Linked DNA regions of Drosophila melanogaster. The protein of the gene in region 2 purifies or fractionates together with the protein of the main gene of each other region. This does not show direct contact. Each region holds a gene or a part of one and is shown on either strand. Other genes may lie near its edges. The genes, in order: Sdr and Ilp7.

What was found.
Region 1: the proteins of Ilp7 (region 2) and Sdr purify together in Drosophila melanogaster (affinity purification with western blotting, with the first as the bait; one study listed by BioGRID). This does not show direct contact.

Annotation. Positions count from the first base shown.
Region 1 is NT_033777.3:14,913,700-14,927,635, reverse strand, and holds Sdr (secreted decoy of InR), read right to left. Parts: upstream 9,009-13,936; 5' UTR 8,759-9,008; coding exon 8,207-8,758; intron 8,129-8,206; coding exon 7,591-8,128; intron 7,533-7,590; coding exon 7,385-7,532; intron 7,324-7,384; coding exon 6,928-7,323; intron 6,865-6,927; coding exon 6,648-6,864; intron 6,596-6,647; coding exon 6,339-6,595; intron 6,269-6,338; coding exon 5,770-6,268; 3' UTR 4,553-5,769; downstream 1-4,552.
Region 2 is NC_004354.4:3,661,691-3,672,554, forward strand, and holds Ilp7 (Insulin-like peptide 7), read left to right. Parts: upstream 1-5,930; 5' UTR 5,931-6,353; coding exon 6,354-6,490; intron 6,491-6,549; coding exon 6,550-6,722; intron 6,723-6,844; coding exon 6,845-7,014; 3' UTR 7,015-7,155; downstream 7,156-10,864. Other genes in the region: AstA-R1 (allatostatin A receptor 1), read left to right, coding at 470-588, 1,766-1,841, 2,644-2,799, 2,871-2,975; Parg (Poly(ADP-ribose) glycohydrolase), read right to left, coding at 7,439-8,897, 8,965-9,677. UniProt on the Drosophila melanogaster protein: Possible ligand of InR/insulin-like receptor.

The DNA.
Region 1 (13,936 bases), on a different chromosome or scaffold from region 2:
GCCCAGGAAGTGAAGAAGTGGCCAGCAAATGAAGATAAGTTTTATGTGGCGCGGAAATTAAGAACTTTGTTTATAGTCCAGGCCAATGTATGTCCGTTTGCTGATGAGCCAGCAACATATGGAAGGAGGATGAAGTTGTGGATGAGGGTGGACTAAGTGAATCGATCGAGCAGACAAATTACTTGCGTCTCGGTGCTAACGACCTAGGACTCCCCTCGATGAGGCGCCATTTGAAATGTGTTATTAAATGTATTAAGAATTCATTAGCACGAAAGCCCAACAACTCGATTGTCGAAAAGGCAGTGTCAATGGCGGATGCTTAAATATGCATTAATTTTATGCAGATGGCATTAACTTTTGACAAATGGACTTTCTAGAGTGAGGCCAAACTAATGCTGGAAACGCCCTGGATTTTCCATAAAGCCATCAACAAAGGCTCAATATTTCTTTGATTGAAACAAAGGCGGCAAAGGCAAATTAAACAAACACTAGGCTTGCTGCACGACTATCAAATACCCGTTACTCGGTTAGGACTAACTTGCCAATATATATATATCATGGCAGCTTTCTACCTGCTACATCATTTCCTAAGAATATTATACCCACTTACCCTATAAGTAACAAGTATCTGGTTAAATTATGTTAAAGTACATTTCATATACCTAGTAAGCAAACGAATATGCCCTTCAAAGATTAAATATAACTTTCACTCGTTCAACTCTTAAAAGCTTTCCTCTCATAGAGAAAAAAATCAACTAATTAAGTTACAATTGCAGCCAAGGGAGCTCAAAGGAAGCGTAGAAGGATGGGTAAGGGAGCTGAAGGGAATACCAGCAAATGACAAGGACAAAACACAACTTAAACCATATAAATGTCGTCAGGCAGCTTTCAGCAATTAATTATCCGCAAAGTTTTCAATTACAAGCCAATTACGCCCTGCCATCATCCAATCGCAAAAACACACGCGCATTCAGGGAACAGTGGGATGCCTAAACAGCGACTTCTAACAATTTCAAATATATTATTGTAGTTTAATAAATATGTCTTTTCGTTCATACAAATAGCTCAAATATATGTTGAATACAATTATATTCCAGTAACTGAACAGTAACTAAAAGATTCTCTTTATTAATATTCACATTTATTATTTACTTATTTTAAAGAACATAAACTTTAAGTCAACTACTGAAACTATTGCATCATTAGCTTATCCTCACCTGTATTTACTGTACCGCCACTGTCACGTATAGCAGCGTTGAATGACATTTTATTGAGCAGCTTCGACATGGGTTCCTGTTCCTCTTGCCATTCGCACATTCCAGTGGCCACCCGGGAAAATCCATCCTAGCCCCTTTCGGTCCATCAGTTTACCTTTTTGATAGAGTTGTCAACTGTCAGGCAGAACGAATCGTTGTGCCGATGACACGTTTTGCCAGCGCATCATGAAACCTTGATGACGCCAAAATGAATGCGTCCTGCCATAACGGAAATGGAACAAAAACCGAACGGAGTGGGCGGAAACGGAAGTGGGGGTACGAGTGGAAACATTCGCAAATGGCTGACAAATATGACGCCGCAACAACAATTGAAACTGTTTTGTTCATATTTGCAGACAGACACTAGCACAGGTGTGGGTAGGTGGACGAGGAGGGGAAACTGCGACAAGTGCAAAAGGATATTGGTTTTTGGGCTAAGCGGTTTATTGACATTTGCAATGCGTGCATAGCACTTAATTAAGGTGTAATTTTCAATATTGAACGCGCGTTAAACAAAGCAAAGTTTTTGCAACGGCTTTTGAAAAGGATGAAAAACAAACAAGGGTATGGTTGTTTGAAAATTGAAAGGAGACCTATTTGTGTTTGTTGAAGGAGGTAACATGATTACTGCTTACGTAAGTAAACACACTTTTCGATGCTTATTTGTATCCTATATATAGACTTCATAATTTAGGCAGTCTAGACGTTGATCCACTCGATCAGCTCCTTGTCAACGCAGAAATCCATTCAATCACCTAAAGCTTGGGGCCTAGATTTTCCCATTCATAATTTCCACTTGTCATGTCCCGTTCCACGAAATCGTTTAGCGCAAAAAGTGGAGCAATGACTGTTCATTGTTAGACGCCGGTGAACCCGACGGATAGAAAAGCCAGAGAACCTGTAGTTATTGCCTACGAAATAATAGCTCTAAATAAATCGTCAAATTGATTTCACTTATGTCACACACACGAGGCTACTCAAATCATCAACTCAATGCATTGGTGTGGTAAATTATTCACGTTTAATGGACAAATCCTTGGCGGGGCTAAATTATTTCCAGGACAATTAAGTGGAAAACTAACTACTTATCTGACCTCTGATTGTTTTCATGCTCGACTTTTTATTCAGCGTGAGAGTTTAGTGCCTGAGTAAAAACTATTTTCAGCGCTTTTCATTATTTATGGATCACAAGCAAAGCAAACACATGTCAGGCCAAAAGCCACGCAAAGCTAAAGCCCCAGTTGCAATTAAGTTCTCTCGACCTACAAATATAGGACATATGGTACGGAAAAAACTGTTTACTCGTAGGATTCCCAAAATGGGTTTATTATGAAGCAGGCCACAAAATTGTATCACTCACTCAATTACAGACCAACAATTTTTATAAGGTGAACATTTTGTATTTACTCTGAACAAGCAGATAGTATTTCTATATTAATTTATATAAATATGAACTTCATATCGACAATATTATTGTGTTTCTTTCAGTGGAAGAGTAAAATGGATGACCCAACGCATTGCAGCCAACCAACTAAGAGTCCAGACGTGTCGGATGGCGGTCCTTTGAGTTGAGCTGGTCCTGCCCAATAAACTTGGCTCCTGCCTCAGCACATTTTGATTTAACTAAAATTAAAATCAGCTGCTTTCCATCTACGCCCTCATCCTCATCCCCCCGAGCACTTTCCCTCCGGCTGTCACTTAGTACATGTCCTTGTGGACTAAGTGACCGTTTCCCACACATGCCAGTTCATATTATCCGGGCGCATTTATCTCGCATTGGCAATTGGATTTGTAATGTGACTAAAGCCAGACAAAACGACAGGATAACAAAGCAATGGCAATGGTCATTGAAAAGGACAATTGTGTGTGCGAGTCGCGCATTTCGAAGCTGACGAACTGCTGACCTGAAGATGGGGTACAGTTGTGTTTTTGGGGGGGAATCGGGGCTTAGTAGGTCGGGGATTATCCAAAGCTCTTTAAATTTGTCGCAGGAAGAAGGACTTGACCTTTTCGGTGGCCTAGAATTTAATGTATGCGCAAGTTTGGTAACTGGATTTGGGGGATTTTCAATGATAAAATATTTAAAATGTTTAACGTTTAACGTGTAGTATATACTTAGTTACTTATTAAAAATATTTCATATACAATTTTATATATTATTGATTTTTAAATTTAAATTTTCTATCTTTATTCAATTGGTTTCCCTTAGTACTGGCAACTACTTGCATTTATAGTAACACACACACACTCGCACAAGCTCTGATGGTGTTCAGTATATATCAATGTCTCAGGTCCAAACTAGTGCACATCATTACCATTACCGTTCCCAGACTGAATGCACTAACCCAGAACTCGCATGCCGACCCGTACCAAATCCAAATTCGAAAACCCAGAGTTTAATGCGCCGATGGTGAAGGTGATGCCGACACTTTCGTTTCTCCAGTTGGGGCAAGGACAATCGAGGAGCGCACACATATGGATTGGCAAAGCTGCCCACATAGCGGGTTATAAGCCAAATATGGCTAAGTCAAAAGCAAGTAAGCATATTCTGTACCATCCATGCAATACTTAGTATCGCACTGGTAGTTTTAAGTATCGATTTCTATAGCAATTTAATAGGTCAAAAACAAATGTCAGGTATGTAACATATTTTCGGACTAAAAATAAAATTGATAAACATATATTAAATAAACTCCAATTGAACAGCACTAGTCCGAGTTGCGGTGCACTCAGTTTTATTGTCCGCCTGCCTGCCTGACTGACGGACGGACGGGCGGACCAACGGGCGGACGGAGGAACTGCTAAACTGACGCACTGACATCGACGAACCGCACCCAAAGTGCTTGGCCCGGCAAGTGCATAGATAACAAACGAGTGCAAGGATAACGAGGCTACACGGCAAGGACTACGTTTGCAACCACAGCTACAGCTGCTACTACAACTGCGTCTATGGCAACGGAAATAACGCGAAAAATGGTGCAACAGCAAAGGGCGAAGAGGAGGGGACAGTGAAATATTGAAATACAATTGGTTTAGGATAAGATCACACACAGCCCCATATCTCTTCCTTCCTCCACTTAAAGACGGCGCCAAAGGATGTGGCATAAGTGGTTTCCAGCTGCCCAGCATTTTGCTTTAAGTCCAGCCAGTTGATTTAAATGGCTACATCAAAAATTGAAAAAGAGATTAGTTACACTCAGTAGGTTGAATAAGGTTTGCCAGCGGGTATTAGCTCACTAAAAAGAAACTCTAGCTTAGACTAACAAATATGATAAACTTGAGTATTTTTAAAGGGAATTTTATTGTAGACAATGAAATGTTATACCTTTTATTGATTGGCTTTCAATTGCAGTATATTATATATGACCTAAATTTGTGCTAGTGAGTTTCTTGCAGTGAAGCTTCCAAAGTACGCGAAGGGATAGTCGCCAAGTTACCCCCTTTGGAGTACTTCACTCGCGACCTCTAAGGTAGTTAAATTGCGCGTCAGTGTCAGCGGCAGAATTGAAATCCTTTTCCTCTGCAGGCACTCTGAGCGTCCTTAGCTTCCCGCATCCCGCTCACCCCTCGCCGCTCATACTTAGTCCTGCGTCAATCACGAACCGCTTTTCCCCATTGAGTGGGACACGTTTTCATGGAACTTTTCCAGCTGCGCCGAAAACTTGGCCACAAACAAGGCGACACATGACACGTACTCGACTTGACTCCACTCCACACCGAAAGCAAAAGCATCGTCTCGACCTAGTCCCTTTCCGCCCAGTTTTCGATGGTGGGGATTAGTTCTAGTTTTTGTCAGTGTTTTAAAGTTTAAAGCTCTTTTGCGGCATATTTGCATATTAAGTGGCATGCGTTGGAAGTTCCAGGCAGCCTGCTGTTGTTAGTTTCGCCTAGGCTTATGCCATGGCCAATCTCGAGAGAAAGGTAACCGCTTTCCGGGCCAAGTTGAGGATCTCAGGAATCACTGCTGTCAGTGAGGGTTTTTCCCTTTGAACGGTTTCTGGCTCTGGCACACATTGCAAGGACGTGCGGCTAAGTCTGATAAGCTGATAAGTCAAATTAGCACTGATGAAAACATTTGCTCGCTTGTCGAGGATTTGTTTGGCATTTACACATTTACAATACATTTGGAGGAACTACAGTCACTTGACTTACAATACTTAGTTGGGCCCATATGACACGGCTTACACATTACATTACATTTTAACAATTGATTCAAGTAAAAAGCATTAAAGCTGTTCAGTCTAATTATAATCAAAGTTAAAAACCGAAAAATATTAAAAAAAAAAATTAATTCCAAATAGTAAAACTACGACATATATAGTCTGGAAAAATAAGAGGTCCAGCGGTCCTTCTATGTCAAGTTTTTTAGAACAATAAATACAGATATAGTAAATGTTAAACACGTTGATTTAGGTTGATATTGCATCAAGTTTTCAACATGCCTATCGTCATATGGGTCTAGCATTTATCACTTGTCAGCGGATACAGAAAGTCTGCGATCGAGGATTCTCTGCTAAACACCCTTGATGAATCGCTCCAGTTGGATGCTTGCAGTCTTGATTACAGCTTCCGCCGGAGTTGAGCATCCGTTGACCACGCCCTCGACGCAAGCCCGTATGGTGATCCGGTAATGGGTTTCCGGCTCCAACTGGGAGAGGCAGTAAAAGTGCTGGGTGCCCGGAAGTTCGTAGCCACTCAAGGGCTCCTCAGCCACGCATTTTTCCTCCACTTGCTGGACCACGGATGCGTGGGAGTTTTGGCACTTGGGCAAGGCATGTCGGATGGTATACTTGTGCTGGTCCAAGTCCTGAAGATCCCGCTGCTTCTTCTCGCTATTCAGGCGATAATTCTCATAGTTAATTGCGGCCAATCTCTCCTTAGCCAATGTTGCATTTGTAGGAGCAGGAGTGGTTGTGGGCGGTCTGGTGGGCTCTTCATCCTTCTTTATGGACAACAGGTGCTCATAGTTAATCACTTTTTCGAACTCCTTTCTGCGATAGTCGTGATTGCGCCTATAGATGGTATAATATTGTATATTATTTCAATTGAAACTTCAAAGAAAACCATATTTTCTTGTCTTACGAAACATAAATGAGATTGGGCAACGCATCCTCGTAGGTGATTTGCTCTTTGTTGTAGTAATCCTCGTCATCTGGCTGAGGACCTGAATAGTAGGGCAGTACACCAGCGCACTCACAATCGATGTCTTTAGCATTTTCCAACTCAACATTCACATAATTTTTGTCCTTTGCTTCCTTGGTAGCATTGTACTTTTCGGCGGTCACAAAATAATTTTTAATGACTCCATTTGGACGCCTCGGTGGCCACCAGTGAAGAAGCTGGAAATGAACAAGTTTTTAAGCTGAGAGATATATTTTGAAAAGTACTTACAATCTGGGAACTGATTTCCGAACTGCCATATATTCGGAGCACAGGACTTGGCCTATCCGGTAGCGTCTGGAAGTAGCCGATTTTTGAGTAGGCATCTATCTGAATATGATATTCGGTTCTGGTGAGGGTCTTCACGAAATACGCATACTGTGTGTAGGGCTTCAGACCGCTTATCACATGACGTCGACTCTGGTTGGGCACAACGTCCATCAGCCAGCTGGAAAATTATAAACAGAATCACTGTAGGTAAACTTGGTGAGGGCGAGGAGTCCACACCCACTTGTCATGACCGCAACCATGCCGACCATCGTACATAGTCACGTTTTGCACCGGGGCTTCCTTGTAGTGATACGAATATCCTATTAGCGTTTCCATACCCTCCCAGTCCATGTAGTCCAGGATGATGCGTACCGCAGTGGAATTTAGGTCCTCCACTTTGGGATTGAGGGAGCGCACCGCGTCGCCACAAATCACGCGTTCGCCGTTCGAATTGGGGGATACATCTGCCACGGATATATTCTCTCCGCTTTTCAGGGAGCCCTGTAGCTGATGGATTTTCTCGTAGCACAGGCGGGGATTCAGGTGAAAGAATAGTGTACCGCGCTGAATGATCACCAGGTGATTGGGTGGCCAAATGTGCTCCAAATGGTAGTTATTCACTACATACAGGGCGTATCTGAAAATGAGATAAATAATATTATTAGAATTTCAATACAATCCTTGCCTCTCAAACTAACTTGTTTTCCACCAGCTTATCCCCTCTTATGGCATCCAAATTCTGAAGAAATGTGAGCGACATCAGCTGTGCAGAGTGTATGACCTTCAGATACCCAGTGATCTCTTTAACACTGGCCAACGCATTTTCCAAGGCATCTACAATTTTTTCTGGAAAATGTATTATGTAAGTAAATTATACAGATATCATATATGATATGAAACACACCTTTAATATTGGTGAGTTCGATGGTAAGTGAACCATTGATCGTCACACAGTCTTGTAAAACTTCCAGGTCGGCAGCACTCTTCACGTGAAAATCGCCGTTGCACTCCACCTGGCAGTGGATGATGCCCTTGGCGACCAAAATCTCTTTCTGGTTTCCCGGACACTTTTTCACACACTGATAGCCGCGTATCAGGGGAATCCTTCCCAATTCCCGGCACTCCCTGTGACCGATGCACCTCCTCTTGTTTAATTCATAGCTGGCGACACACTGATTGACACATCCCATTCTTCCCTGGTAGTTTGCACAAAGGGAGCAGTTTTGGGAATAGCAACCAGTTACACAGTTGTGATCACAACATTTGCCCGCACTATCACATCCGTTTAGGCCACATGCAATGGGGCAGTCCTTAAGTCTGGGCGGTTGGGGGCGAAGTTGTGTCGTATTCACGTTCCAGCAGCGCTCCGAGGAGTTCCGGATGAACTCGAAGTCCGCTGACAGGCTACCACACAAAGGGCACTGACTTTGCGGTCTGTTGTGCTATGGTTAATAAAAAAGTTATTTATCCAATATTTGCTTAATATCAAGGAACATATGCCCAAGTATATCTTCACTCACTTTAAGGGAAAAGTGCTGCCGAGTGGCATTGCCCATTAGATATATCCAATCGACGGTTTCCACGAAGCACAGCAAGGGATTCGATTCGACGCGAATGAATCCGCTCTGGATGCGCAATAACTCCACCAGGCCGAGCTCCCTGAGATTGCGATTCTCGTAGACCACCAGGGAGTACTGATCAAAGAGGAGCTCCTGCCCACGAATGATACGCAGCCGTGGGAATATCGACTGCAGGCTGATCAGACCCGTGCAGCGATACACCATTAGGTAGTCACTGATCTCGGTCACATTGCTGGCCAGCGAATCCAGGCTGTAGTTGCCGGATACATCCGTCAGATCCACATAGGCCAGTCGAACGTGACCCACCACATGAGTACAGTTCTGCAGTTTCCGCAGGTCCGCAATCTTATTTATCTCCAACGATCCGCAGGCGGTTTGATCATCGGAACTGGCCAAAACCGGCGATGAGGCGCCCAAAAACAGCAGTATCAACGGAACTGCGATCGAGATGGGGATCGGAAGGGGGTTGGGAACGGGGTGCAGATGCCCCATGCTGCCACCTGACACTTCCAATTGAGAGCACTTGACCCGGGCGTTAAGGGGGCTTCCAATGGATCAATTAGCGCGCCCGCTTGAATGTCAATGTCGTTTTTCTCGCACGATCGATCGGTTGAACTATATATTTTTTTAAATATTTTTTCCGCTTTTGAAGAGAGCTGCGTTCGCGGCAACGATTCGATTTGGACTGATGGCATTCGATTCGAACAGCGTTCTGTGCTTTCGATCTCTTTAATTAGCCTCTTCTTTCGGCATTCACTTTGTTTTGTTTTGTTTGGTTTTGTTTCACACTGTTATTTCTTTTTTATGCGCTCGTCTTCGTTCTCTAAACCCTTCGGCTACACCAGCGGAAAATCGTGTAGTGTTCATAAAACTATTCAAATTTGTCGACATTTATAAGAACCTAAAAATGTATGCAAAGCGAACATATTTAGTAACCTTTTTCTTAAGCAAAATATCTTTTAAGCAGATTTCCAAAATTATTACAATAATAAAATATTTAGCATATTGTTTGATAGAGCCAATTCTAATATAAATATCTAAATATCTTCAAAAACCAGAACTATTTTTTCGACTCGGTGTATAAAAACTGCTCAAGAATGAAAATCAAAGGTGGTGGCTGTTGTGAGAGAAGAAGACTGATGATTCGATGGGGAGCAGTCTGGTAATATTTACGTTAATGAAAGTAAACATTTCGTAAAACAATATCGTAAAATAATATACTTGCCGGTCTTGCTATTTGTTTGTTTCTAGTTTTCTCAATCAAATTTAAACCCCCTAATGCCCTTTTGCAGTCAATTAAAAAAGTGATATACGAAACTTAAAATTAAGATTAAGAGTACCATGATAATTCGTATGATCTTTTACGGTTTTTGATAGATCGATTTGTGGAGCTACAAATGAAATTCAAAAACTGGAAACCCTTTTTGAAATTCTTGGCACGCCACTGTTTCATTTTGTTGGGGAGCGATTATTTTACGCATCTGTTACCTTTCACGTTTTTCTCATTGTCGTTTCCTTGTTGCCGTCAGCCGAAAAACACTTGTTACTTCTGCAACCGCCACAGCCCCTTGCCACGCCCCCACTCCCCATGTGACCTTGCAACCATTTGCAAACCGGTTGGATCCTCTTCCCCCTTCCTCCTTAGCTACCTTCCCCTTAGCCACCTACCGGCGTTCTTTACCTTTTTCCCCAGAGTGCATGTCTTTGCCTTTTGTTTTTGCATTTGCGCAGAAATTAAATTGCACCGGCGAACAATTCAATTAGAGTGAATGCAAAAAAACAGTGAAAATAAGAGCGAAAATGGTGGGAGGGGGTGAACCAAAGCTCCAATCCAATTGGTAGAGTAGTGAGCATTGAACAACGCGCAATTGGCAGTTCATTAAGGTGCAAGTAACGCTCAATGGAATCGGAAAAAGAATTTTCTAAATTTAGTCAGATGCCAATTGAATACGCAGCTTGAATGATTGTTCAATAACAAAAAAATAGATAATATATTTATGTGTTAAATACAATAGCAATAGAAATCTATAAATAATTTGCGCAAAATTGTGCCCCGTTGTTTTAGATATTTTAATGGGCAAACCACATAAAAACGCACGAAATAATTTCAAATTTTCACTTTGTTATTATAGGGTATATCTTTAGTGTAGTACTTTGAATATATCATTACATATGTAACAGCGGATAAAATCTGCCTAATTCACCCCAGGATAATTATTTAGTTATTATATCTATTCCAAAAATTATTTTAAACATAATAATTTATGTTACCGTCGCGATAATCCATTCAAAATTAGTTAATAATTGATAAAACCATCATCAATGGTCAATATAGGCAGTAATTTATTATTATTATTTATCATAAAACGTTATTTTTAGCTTTAAATATGCTTAAAGCCAACTTCTATTTCTAAAAACAAAACTGCCATAAACTGTATCTTTTTTTAACGAGTGCAAAATGCACAAATTCACGCAAAATCACCAGCTGCACCCACATAAAAAATCGCAGTAAACGTGTGAAAAAACCACACAGGCATAACTATCAATGATTTTTTCGTTAGCTGATGTGCTCTTTTTCTCCGTTTTCCCGCCACCCGCCTGTGAATCAATTTTCGCAGTAATTTGCAGAGCCTGCGCTGATGTGAAACGCGCGGAATTTAATGCAGCATCCTTTCCGGCGGCACGTCAAACTATGAGCATCCCCACCAGCGCCCACTACCACCCCTCACCACGGAAGCCCCCATAACCAGGGGCGCCAATTATTGAATATGCCAGCAGCACACAGGCGCCGTTTGAAAGGGGCAACCAAAGGGGCAGCGGGAACTGACAACAGCCCTCCAGCGATGATGAAGTAGCTAGCTAGTATTTAATAAAAATGCTCTACAACTGCGAAACCATTTTATTTTGTAGTGAATATGTTTTCATAATTATTCCAATAATAAAATGAAAGTTTTCTTAAGCCAGCAGGAAATTAGAATGGCTTTTTTGAGCAGAGCACCATCTCTGACTCACTTAATTCGCACGGGAGTTGCAAGATGGCAATGATGCGGTGGACTCCAGTCACCAGAGTATCCGAGGCGGCAAACACGTAACACCATTTTGCGGCGCGTGATGGGAATCGCTAGCGAGGACGTGTGCATATGCCTACCCGGGAAAAGCGGGAAAAGCTGAGAAAATCGGGAATACAGTGGGAAGAGTCAAGGGATGGGAGAGTGGAAACGGGAAAACTTGGACATAAGTCAACCCGTGAGTAGGCGGCCCACGCACGTCCCTGCATTTAAGTGCCAAATTAGGAGGAGGCCTTGGGCGGCTTGCACATGGCTGTTGGCCATAAATCAAGCGGTCGATGCAATTTATGGCCCTGCCAATTCAATGAGCTACTGCCTGCCTGCCTGCTGTCTCATCATGACCCATTACCATTATGATTGCTGTTATTACGAACTCTACAGCTCGAGCCGGAGAATTAATTAAGTTTGCTGAAAAATGCAATCCGGCAAATAGACAATGGCAGCAGCTGTTCCATCAGCCTTTCTTCCCGGGATTCTCGAGTCCTTTCCGCTCAGTTGGAGCACTTGCATCCTGATTGATGTGGCACCTCGCAGCAGCTGACAGGATATTCAACCCGGCTGGCTGATGCAATTGGACACATGACACAGCAATCTGCTTGAAAACTACACTAAGACGTCCAAGAAGTTGGCCAAAACAGACCACACAGCAAGTGCACTGGAGTTTCCCTTTACCTTTGGGATAACGAACAATAAAAACATTCGAGTGCAAACAATGTTACTTCATAAGTAGTCATCAAAAATTACATAATCCATTTAAGAGGCGAGCAAGTATAAAACACACAAACTGAAATCCATTTTTAATTTGGTAAAACTATTACTTTACTTTCTTTGCCACACTTCATAAAATTGCAATGCTCTTCATTTGCACGTGCATTCCGCAAGCCTCAATTCAATCAAATTTAAAAAGCTTTCAATCTCAATCAAACTGCTAACAAGTCTTGTTCAACCAAATTGCGTTAAATGGAGTCCAATTAAAATTAAAAATGAGTGCCTAAGAGTGTGTCTTTTAAATTCGATAGCACTTCAATTAGAAAGTTTTCAAATTAAAGCCAGCATTCTATTGCATAAGAATGCAAGTAAATTAAAGGGTATATATATTGTAATACAAATTCATATTTCTTGTAATATTTCCATTGCAATGAGCAATGAAAATTGTACATTGTACACTGTAAAAGAGCCTTGATTTTTCAAACCACTCCATTGCGCATAAACTTCACTCTTAATCAGATTTTTCCATTGTTAGCCTTTGCCATTTTTAAGGCATCTGCTCAAAAGCGTTTCATATTTTACGGCTCACCTCATAAAGCCGAAAGGTTGGCTGGCAGAAAGTCAGGACGGAAAGTGCCCTTAGTAACAAGGATATGGGCAACCTTTGTGCCACTTGCATTACGCATACGCCCTGTCGTCGCACAGATCTTCAAGTTTATGCTAAAAAGTCGCACACCGACGCAGCTGGCATGTGCCTCCTTGCATTTCACAATTTCTCCATTTTTATTTCAATATAGAGCATATAGAGCCCGTTGGCCGCCATCCCCGTTGCTAGCTCCATTTTATGCGTTCCTTTCATGCAATGCAAATCGTTTTAAAAATAGTGTATTTTTTACACATTTTTATGCAACTTTTTCTGCCATTCTCCCTTTGTTGCTTAAGCACGTAATTTATGTATTCTTGAATGCCAGTGTGTGTGTGTGTGTGTGCAAGTGCCACAACAATTTGCATATGTGCGCCGCACTCAGGTGGCTGCCCATTTCTTTTTTTTTTTCTATTAGCCACGCATAAAGCTTAATTTATTGGCGCCTGCAGCCTGGAATTTTGCCCTTCCGTTTTGGCCAGGAAGTTGCAATCATTATTTTTTATAGCCTCGGTCACCCGCAGAAATTTGGCTATCAAAGAAAATTAATAATGAACAAAAGGAAAGGGTGAGCTGAATGAATCTCTGGCATTTTCACTGCTGCGTGACGCTGTGGAATTTTGCGCCAAGGAATGAGTGTAAAATATTTTACAGAGTTTAATCAGCCAAAAAATGTGGCAAAGAATTGTGCATCTTTTACACAGACATTTCATATTAAATATTTCACAGTTTGGAATCTTTAAGCTAAGCTTGAGTAAAAAATCATTAATATTCCGCCTTCCAGCCGTCTTACAATCGCAATTAAAAGCGTTATTAAATTTTCGGCTTGAATGCGACTTGTGGTGTGTTGATGGCCAAATTAATTGCATATCTGATGGGGGCATAAATCCGATCTTTGGCTGATTGCTGAGACACGTCTGGTGCGCTCATTTACCATTTGCCACGGGCTTTGTTTGCCGATTTCAAACGGCATTAAAGGGAAGGGCCATGGGTGGCTGCTAATGCGCCCGAGTGCTAACTGCTTGGAAATGGATTGTCGGATTGCCGGATGGCCGGGTTGCGTCACGGATTGCCTGAAAACGATAGCGATGCATTGCGAACGGGTTGAAGGCACGGTTGAATGGTTCAATTGGATGGAGGCTTGCAGTTTAAGGGCTGCAATCAGGTTTCATTGATTGAACAACAGGATTAAATGGCAAACACACAATTATGGAAATCAGAAAATGAATAAGATGAGCGTGAGATGGATTG
Region 2 (10,864 bases):
TGGGAATACGGCTAAGCGGCAGCTGGTAAATGGAAATGGGGGCTTTGGTTTTTTTTTTTTGTTTTTTTGGGGGGAACTGGCAAGTGTCTGGTACTCATATCTGGTATCTGGTCAGCATTACGGGTCAGCGCTTCTGACAATTTCCATGCAGAAACAAAAGTAGCTGACATGGCAGCAGATGGCAGAGGAAAAGCCTTCGACCAGTTACAGCAACATAAAACAAAAGTAGTTGTACAAAAAAAAATTGCAAAATAAATATATACAACTTAACTGAAAGCATATATCTATGGTTAGGTTTTCTTTTTGAACTAAAAACTATTCTTGTAAGTTTAAATCTAAGCCTAGTAGCTACCTAAGCCCATGGCTACTGACGAATTCTTCAGACAAAAATCAATCTGTTCCTGATCTTGCACAGACGCAACAGAAGATATTTATTTACGCATTTTCCGCATTTTGTATCTTATTTCAGGTCTCATTCTTTCTATCGTCATATGTGGCACCATTGACGCTGATTTGTTTCCTATATATGGGAATGCTGGCTCGTCTTTGGAAAAGTGCTCCTGGCTGCAAACCTTCCGCAGAGTCACGGTAAGTAAATGTATATCCCAACAAACTCCAACACACGAATATCGCGTATACGCCATGGGTGCGGAAATATTCCTTCCGCTTGTTTCGTTCGTCGTATTTTTTTTTGTAGCTACGCACCTGCTGCCATGATGAATGCCTTTTTATTAGGCTGTGCGTAAAGCTCAGGAGCTTTGGCTCATGCATTTTTTAAGTGGCCAGGTCAACGAGACCGAATCATAAGTAGAAATGTGAGCGATATTCCCGCAGGTTTAGGAAAATGTGAGCGATATTCCCGCAGGTTCAGGAAAATGCGACTAACAAAAAAAAAAGCCCAGTAAAATGACAATTTGTTGTCATATTTCATGCTACAAAACATAAAACTAAAACTTTAAACATTATTTCATTACTTCTAAGGTAAACCTAACATTTTAAATAGCCACAAACAAGTTGCTCAAACTACGCTCCGTGGATAAAGCGAGAAAGTAAAGTTAACTAAGCCACACAGACGTGATCGGGGTCAGCAACCATCAATTTGAAGTTGAACTTGCGGCCACTTTAAACTTTGCGAAAAAAAAAACCTTGCCCCCAAGTTCGGTTTTATCATAAATCGAAAACTATTAAATTGTGCTCACTCTTCGTATGAAATGAATTCAACTTAAATAAAAAATATTATACAAGCATATTTAAACCTTTGCATATTTTGTAAATACATATGTATATAGTAAAATTACTTGTGATATTTTTGAGTCGAACTAATGTAAAGACAACGCTAAGAAATAAAAAAATATCTAAGAAATAGCTAGTTCTTTTGATCTCAGCTTAAGACTAAAAATCAAATGTAAATTGGTTTGAGAAGAAGACACAATATTTGTATTTCGGGTGATTCTTAAGATTAGGAAAAGATTCAAAGAGAGCAGTTTGGAGCACCCAAATACATATATGTACATTGGGTTGCGTTTTAAATTTGAATGGAAATGAACTTGCGACGAGTTCGCAATCCGCACGCAAAGTTCATAAATCACAGCGCGGCCAATGCAAAATTCAGCAACTGAAATGCGGCATAATTTATATGCACTCCAGATATCCAAGTCTATACATATGTGCATTGTACATATATATCCATATTAGTATATAGTATATCTCGCATATATCACTAACTCTCCGATTTCTGTTTGTTCTTGTTGTTTCTTGATTTCAGAAAGGGAAAAAGGCGCGTCACCCGAATGGTTGTTGTTGTCGTATTGGCATTCGCCATCTGTTGGCTGCCCATTCATGTGAGTACAATAAAACACCTGGCATTAAGTGCAAATAATCAAAAATGCAATGCAATGCACAAGGTGCATAGCAAATTTGCCAAAATTTACCAAAACAGTAAACAATCGATTTGTTATATAGCTAATTAAGATTGAACGGCGAACAGCAAATGAACTCATATTCATATACCTATATTGGTAGTTGTTAAAAAAAAAAAAAGAAAAATAGGTCAAGGTCAAGCTTAAATGATTTTGTAAACTTTATTAAAAACTTCTAGGCATTCGAATAGCAAAGTTTCAAATTAAATTCTCAGCCTGCGTTGCAAGAAAATTACAGGGCTCATAATCGATTTATTGTACTTAAAGTTTCAGCCACCAGTTTGAGTATCTTAAATTGGCAATGGGCGGCAACAGCTGCTGGTAAAATTTTGTTGGCAAACACAATGGATGATAGTTGCGATAAATTGACATTTGCGATAGTCCGATATTCTGAGTATTTGCTGAAATGCTTAATAAGCCAGCAGCTGCTGCTCCTTGAGTTGCCAGCACAGCAAAGTGTTTGCACAAAATCAATGTGCTTGCAAATTACAAACGAAATTACAATTACACAGACACTTTGGAGCGCAAGAAATGCGCCAATTGCATCTGTCATATGGCAGCATATGGCAACTAATAATGTAAATGCAGGCAACTCAAATCAAATGATGAACTTAAAATGTTTTAATTTTAAATTTAAATCTATCGCTTAAAGTATGCAACAGCCTAAGTTGTGCCTAATTTACTGAACTTTCGTTGCTTAAATCTGCCTAATGCTCCTTTGCAGGTCATCCTCGTGCTAAAGGCACTGAATCTTTATGGCGGCAGCCACTTATCGGTCATTATTCAGATTATATCCCATGTGGTGGCGTACACGAATTCGTGCATCAATCCGATACTGTATGCCTTTCTATCCGACAACTTTCGCAAGGCATTCCGCAAGGTGGGCAACGCATCCATCCATCAATAAATTTATGATCATTCGGTAATAATGTGATATCGATCAACTTGCAGGTGGTCTGGTGTGGAAGTCCGCCACCTTTGATGACCAATCAACAGGTGACCAAGACAACGCGAACTGCAACCGGAAACGGAACGTCCAATATTGAAATGCTCTAAGCGGGTATGTACATACATACATACATCATACATACATATATGCATACATATGTATGATCTTACACTCCATTGAATATTTCAATTGAATTTACCCATAATATTTAACTATTAATTATCTTATTATTATATTATCTTATGCTTGCAGCTCTTGAAAGTAAACTAATTGAGATGGTCACAACATTTTTGAAGGCGACTTACAAACTCGAAACAGAAAATATGAATTTAAAACTGACAAAGAAAACATAAAAACGCGGCGCATATAAGTTAACTATAGTGTATATATAGTAAACAATGTATGTCTATGAGGAGAATATAATTTTCCGAATTATGAAATGTGATTGTTTTGATAGTTTAAAATGTGTACGCATTATTTCACTAAGAATAAGACAACCGAAAAGGTATATTATAAACACGCATATATTCTATGTTAAATTTTAATACGATTGGTTTCTTTTTAAACATTGAGCGCCGTGTAAGTTGCATTTGTGGCCTAGAACTTAAGTATTTAACATAATAAAATTTAATTTTTCCAAAATAATAAAAAAAAAAGAAAAAATAAGAAAGTTAAAGCTTAAAACTCAATTGTTTACATTTTGCACCTGAAATATTGAAAATGGCAAACAAAATCTGCAACAGATATGCTGTAAATTTCCTGAGACAGAAATCGATGAGAGTTGACACACTAATTAATGATTAGAATTGATAAGCAGTGGGATTTCTTAAACAATTTGTAGATTTTCGTGTTATAAGCAAGTCATATGTCATTTAGCCACTAAGCGTTTAATAATATAAAATCAATTAAAATTAATTAACAGAAAAGACAGAAAAGAAAAGTTATTACAGATTTACATGACCATATTGAGAAGATTAGATTTAACAATAAAACATTTGGAATTTTTTCTGTTTGTCCATTGAAAAAAAAATATTTTGTTTGACAGATAAGCACAAAGATAGAAGAAATTGATCTAGCACGTAAGAAAGTTTTTTTTTTTATTACCAGAGCTGTAATTTAAGATGCAGGTAAATGTTTTAGATTCGAGGTCTAATAAAATTATTACTAACTAATTTCTCGTACTAGCGAAGCTCAATTTCATAAAAAATTATACTTTTCGTTATGCAAATTTAATTAATCATTAAATAGATCAAATAAGTACAATGCTTTCATTCGCATAAATTATAGAAACATTCCATTTCCTACTCCAATTATTATTAATTCACAAATTAGCCAATTGTTGACCATGTGAAGTTGGTAAACGTTTAAGTTAATCATGTAAATTACACGTATATATAGATAAAACAATTTATAAACATTTTGACTATTATATAAGTGACATTATTAAAACATTTATATTGCTTTGTTGACTTTTCCTTTTGCATGGCTTCGGCCTTGCCGAATTTAAATGTGGCACAAAAAAAAAAAGATATACGAAAATGGGAGTAGGTGTTGCTAGTGAAAAATCACTTTAAATCTGAACAATGGAACATAAAATATTAGAAACAAAAAAAACAAATTTTTCTTTAATAAATTTCTAGATTAGTTTACTCGATTTTTATGCAGGCAATTGAGATTGCACACATATACTATTAAATCAATTAGAAACACATGCTCCCATTTCAGTATGCTACTGTATTTGACATATAAAACTATTGTAACTACAATATATATAAGCATATGTATAGCAACATAAATGCGTATATATAAATGTATTCTACTGCATTCCTAGCACAGTTGTGGAATTGAACAATATTTGAATTTAGAAAGAAAACAACCGCGAACAAATGGCAAAATTGAACAAAAGAAAAGTTTAAATATTCTAGTATAAGCGTAACATAAAAATAGTTTTTTTGTGTACCCTGTAGGGTATTCGCTAGCCGCCTATTCTCGCGAAAATTGAAACAAAACTAGTGTATAAAAAAAAAACGCATTACGAAATGTACTCATCATTTTACCATTTCAGTTATTATGAAAAGCGAAACTTATTGTATTTGTATATGAATGTATATGTACAATAAACATTTGTTCATTGTGTTAAATAAAAATTGATGACTCTGTGTACACAATATAAATAATATTTTATTTATTGGCATGCCAGTGGTTTTCACTTCTATTTGCATTAAGTTTAAATCGATTGATTTAAAACTTGTAAGCATTGAAGTTCAATAAAAAAAGAGACAACTGTTTACAATAGTGTTAAGTGCCAGGCAAATAAATTCAGCTTTAGTTTCATCCACTATTTGTTTACTCATCGATTCCAAATGACACGGTTTATTTTTGTCAAACGTAAATATTTGGCTTTGAAACCAATAAATCCTGCGCGTTTAATAAACTTAAGCTTATTACTATTATTATTATTTTAACACATTCAAGATTTATTAAAAAGTTCAGTTCGAAAGCACTTACAAAAAAAAAAAAAATTCTGGAAAATAAGGCTTCCAAAAGGCAACCAAACACCGGCAGTGTCATCCAAGAACTAAACTCGAATAGCAAGCCAAGGAGGAAGGACCTCCACTTGGAGCTGTTGGAGCATTGTGTGCAGAAAAGGTGCATCATAAATTCACACGGAACGTGTAAACAGCGACATTATTTAGCTAAGCTATTGTCTCATGTGGGCGGCTTTTCTTATGCATACTCGCACAGTGGGCTCAAAGAAAATCAACTTCATAATTTAAAAAAAAAATCTTAAGATGTATAATTGGTTGGTTAGAGTAACATACCTATTTATTAATCCCAATGATTGCCACATATTAACATATTACATATTTTTTTTATATTTTCCCGCTTTTAGCCCACTGTTTCGCCCACAGTATTGAAATTCGTGCAAATATTGCAAAATTTATGCCAGCTTCGAAATAAAAACAAGTGCCCGGCATTCCGGCTCGTTTTACGAGGCAAACAGCGTAACTTGCCCGATTTTATGTTGTTTTGTTAGCCAAGCAACAGGTTGCAGGTGGAAAATCGGCAGGTGAAACCAACCAACCACATGTATGTAGAGAAGTGCCTCCAATTTGCTGCCCAATGGAACCGCAGATAAACAAGGCAATAAGCGGACAACGGGCCGCATACGCAATTGCTGCCGTAGCTCTTCATTAGATTGGATTGTATTGGATTGGATTGGATTGGCCGGTTGTGAAAGAGGTCCTGACCCGGTCCTGGGCCTCATTACTTCAAATAGAGCGCTGACCAAACGATTTAATTATACCGCCGACGCCCGACAGTTGGCCGCCACTCAGGTGGAGACCGGGTTCGGTTATATTTCAAAACCTGACAACACACCGACCAGAGCGCTCAGTCGGCACGCATCCGCCGTGTGAGCCGCATCAGGATCAGCATTCCTTCGATAGCCTTCGAGCACAATTCGAGCACAAGAACTAACCAATATGACCAGAATGATAATACAAAACTCGGGCAGCTGGACACTTTGCGGAGCTGTACTCCTGTTCGTCCTGCCGCTGATACCCACGCCGGAGGCACTGCAGCACACCGAGGAGGGTCTCGAGATGCTTTTCCGCGAGCGGTGAGTTGTCAACTCCATTGACATCGAACCGTTCCGATGTCTATGTCTCCATCTTTTAGTTCCCAATCGGACTGGGAGAACGTGTGGCACCAGGAGACGCACTCCCGCTGCCGTGACAAGCTGGTCCGCCAGCTATATTGGGCCTGCGAGAAGGACATTTACCGACTGACACGGCGCAACAAAAAGAGGACGGGCAATGATGAGGCTTGGATCAAGAAGACAACCACGGAACGTAAGTTGTTGAATCGAAATCCATTCCAACCAAAGACGATTGGAATTTCAAGCGATGTACACATGTACATCTATGCTATAGATCCATTGATATCGATATGATACCACCTGCTGTCTTTCCAGCTGATGGCTCCACCTGGCTGCACGTGAACTATGCCAACATGTTTCTGCGAAGTCGTCGATCGGATGGAAACACTCCATCGATATCGAACGAATGCTGCACCAAGGCGGGCTGCACCTGGGAGGAATACGCCGAGTATTGTCCATCCAACAAGCGACGCAATCACTACTGATTGGCCATCGACGTTGGATCTGCTTAGATATATATATATATATACGAACAAACAAATATATATTCGCTTTTTTTTTCGTGGTTGTTGTTGTTGATGTTCTTGTTGTGGTCAAATAAAATAAACAAAAGGTTTCGGTTAAATAAAAAGAAACTTTACTGGCTTTAACTACAAATTTCGCATAATAAAAGCTAGATTTGCATGATATAACAAATTATATTAATCAATCAATGTTATACAAATTTAACAGTAAAATTGTCTTTGCAGATTAGAATAGTATAATTAAAAAAAAAAAAAAAATTTCACTTTATTCGACTTACAATGATCCTACTTTAAAATGCCCTAAATATGTCCTTAAAGTTATCTACAATACATTTTATACCTCTTCAATTTTGGGGGCAGTAACAATCCTGTAGTGCAATATCACCTAGTCAACAATATCGTCCTTTTCGTCCTTGTCGGTCACATCGATCTCCTTACGACTCTTTGCTGAACCCTCAGCCTTGCTGCAGTTGGGTGATTTTCGTGGCCTCTTCGAGGCCGAACCCTTTTCATAATGGGTGTCCAGCATCTCGAGCAGGCTCAACTGGCGGCCACCTGAACCCATTGATTTCGTGGCTGTACTGCTCGTTTTGGACGTTGTGCTGCTGTTGCTTATTTCTACGCTGCTTTTAGCCTCCAGACTAGCGGCCTCCATCATGGCATTGGCCTCCTCATCGTCCGACAGCATAAGAAGGGCCTGATCTTCCGAAGAATTTGAGTTATCTTGCGATAATTGCGCGGGCAATAGATCGGTACTTTGTTGCGTTATGGTGATTTGCGGTCGGGCGGGTTGCTTGTTGAGTTCTGGCGAGGATTTCGCTGATGTTTCTGATTTTCCTTCGCCTAATCCAGCTACTCTAGAGCTTCCAGCTTCGGCGGATGCTCCCTCTCCGGGCACATCTCTGACCTTCTTAAGTTCCTCTTTAATAAAATCATATAGCTTCTTTTTGGATGCCTTATTCTCACGCGGCTCCTTGGAGCTCTTCTCCTTAATAAGCCTACTGTACGACCTTAAAATACTCCAAAGCTGCTGCACCGTAGTCCCGTCATTTCGAAACAACAGCCACATTTCATGAAAATCATCCCTAAACTCCACATTTCCAAAGGTATAGTAGGCCAAAGGTCTGCCCAACTGGGCGCAGACCATAAGTTGCAGCAGGGCTTTCAGATAGGAGTCACCGCCGAATGCGCCGCAACCCCAGTTACCAGTTGCCACACCCGGTGGCGGCGTCACCATCCAGTGAACAAATCCAATGTACGCCTTGTTCAGCTCCCTTTCCATGAGATCCTCGCGATATTGATGATGTGACTGGGCAAAATGTAGGGCATCGATTGCCACAATGGCCGTTTGTCGACGACCTGAGCTATCTCTTGGCGTTGAATCCTCAAAGTTGCCGGACCACTCGAAGCTTCCGGCATATCCCGTATAGTTACTATACCTTTCGGCGCCCAACATCACCAGGGCCTCGAATGGTCGCAGACACTCCGTAAAGAGTTTACCCACCAATAGCTCCGGACAGATAACAAAGCGTATCTCCTCCTGAACGCAGCCATGTCCCAAGACACCGCCACCCAAATATTTGTTGGCAAAGTCTACTTGCAGCAGTCCAATGCCCTCATCCTCGATTGTTCCCTCGGCATCCACGTGCAATGGCACATCACCCAACGGCGCCGCACTTTGGCTCCAGTCGATCAGATGTTCCGGCAATCCGCTCCGACGAACAAAGGTTACCACACCGGTGGGCACATTGCTGGCATCCCGCTCTGTGGGACACACGCGACGAAAATAGTGCATAATGCATTTAAGCTTCTCCAGAACTGCCGGTCCCGTCGATTGGTAAAGCCTTTTGATGGAATCGAATATATTTAACATACTTCGACTGAAGATATACGAATCTGGTGGACGCTCACCTGTTAAAGTTGATGTCTGGAAAAGTGCTGTACTCGGACTTCCTCTTGAGGGTGTTTCTCCGGGGAAAGGTGCACAGGAAGGCATTGGCCAACAGGCAGGAGATCTGCTGTTGGCTCAGGCTCAATGAGGCGTTCTTGTGGTGCTTGAGCAGCGGAACTGGCGATTGAATCAAGTCCGGTAGCCGCAATGCCAATCGGATAATGCGCGGCAATAGATCCTCGAAGAAAACCCGTGTTTCGCTCTCGTCCAGTTCCTCGTCGAGAAGTTGATGAAGGGCACGAAAGTGCCACTGATCCCTATAGGTGGTATTATATGATATTATCGCCGCCTGCAGTTCCTCACACGTCTTTATGGGCTGCAGAAGGGCTCGTTCGATCATTTCCCAGCGAAAATCGATGGTGGTGCTGCCATCCGGATTCTCCCTCGGATATTTCGACTCGGGCGCACAGGGCAGACGCACATGCTCGGAGTCCCACTTTCCCGGTGATTTGTAGGGGCGTGGCGGTGTTTCACGAATTGGCAGCTGGTACATAACCCGGTGGAGATTGCCGGCAGTCACTGGTGGCAAATTCTCCAATTCGAAAGGCTGCCGATTACGATGTATAGCCTCCATGGAAACTCCACGCCACGAATCATCTAGGGAGTTCGCCAGATTTTCCGGCTCCTCCTCCGTTTCTATTTCGGAAATCCCGCCATCCGGCGACTTCGACATCCTGGCGCAGTTTAAGCACAAAGCCTTGCCGAGTCGATTGGTCAGCACGGATGCACTTGCTCTGCGGCGATTTGCCGTAGATTGGTAAACCTTTTGGAATATCGGAAAAATCAAGTGTGACCTGAATTCTTGCATACCGGTGTTTTGGGGATGAGCGATAGCTGTGATGAATATCGCACTTTATAAATACCACACACTTCGATTGAAGCGTAGTGAATTGAAGCGTTTATATATCGAAATATATTCAAATATATGTTGGTATTCGTTTGAGAATGAATCAATAACAAATTCAAAATTGCATTGCCTTGAATTCGGCGGGCGAAAGTGTGACCATTACATGTGGTATTTTACCTCTCATTGTCGCTAGTATTTAAATACCAGCACGAGAAATACCAACACTGTGTCCGTTGCAATGCGAATTGCAAATATAACCGCCGAAGGAACAACAACAAACAAAAAGAAAAAAAAAACAAATCTTCCAGCAATTTGTCAACTATTTTCTCTAATTTTTTTTTAAAGTGTAAAACTATCATAACGAGCGCCAAGTTTTACGTTAAGTGAAAGGATTTTTTCCTGTCCTTCGTGCGGTAAAAATAATAGTGCATATTACCAAGGAAAATCAAGTTAAAGGCGTCTGCGAAACTTTTATAAATGTATTTAATACTCAAAAAGGTAAGAAGCGGCGGAAAGTAATTGCTGTTTTATGTTTTTATAATCACGTTTGGCAAGAAAATGTTATTTCGTTGACGTCAGTGGTCAAATCAAATTTTTTCAGTTTTTAACCCTTAATGTGGCACTGTCACTCGCACCTATGTATATATTTATGTGATTGTGGTATTTTGCTCAAGCTTACGTGTTGAAAAGAGGAAGAGAAACCGCTGCATACACGTGCAAAGACTCTGAGAATGGACACAAGAGAGCGAGAGAGGGAGAGAGAGAGAGCGCAGTTGTTTGTTTTGAAAGCGTCGCAAAAACAATACAAAAAAGGTCATACATAATTTGCACACACACTTGCATCTGAGGAAAACGCAAAAGCAAATTCACAGCTAGCTAAAAACCAAAATAAATATAATTTATGAAATGTACTTTTGCTAAAGTTCAACACACCTTTATCTCTCCGCGAAATTTGTTTGCACCATCTCTTTCTCTCCTTTTTGCGTAAACAAACGAAAAAGCTTTGCAAGGAG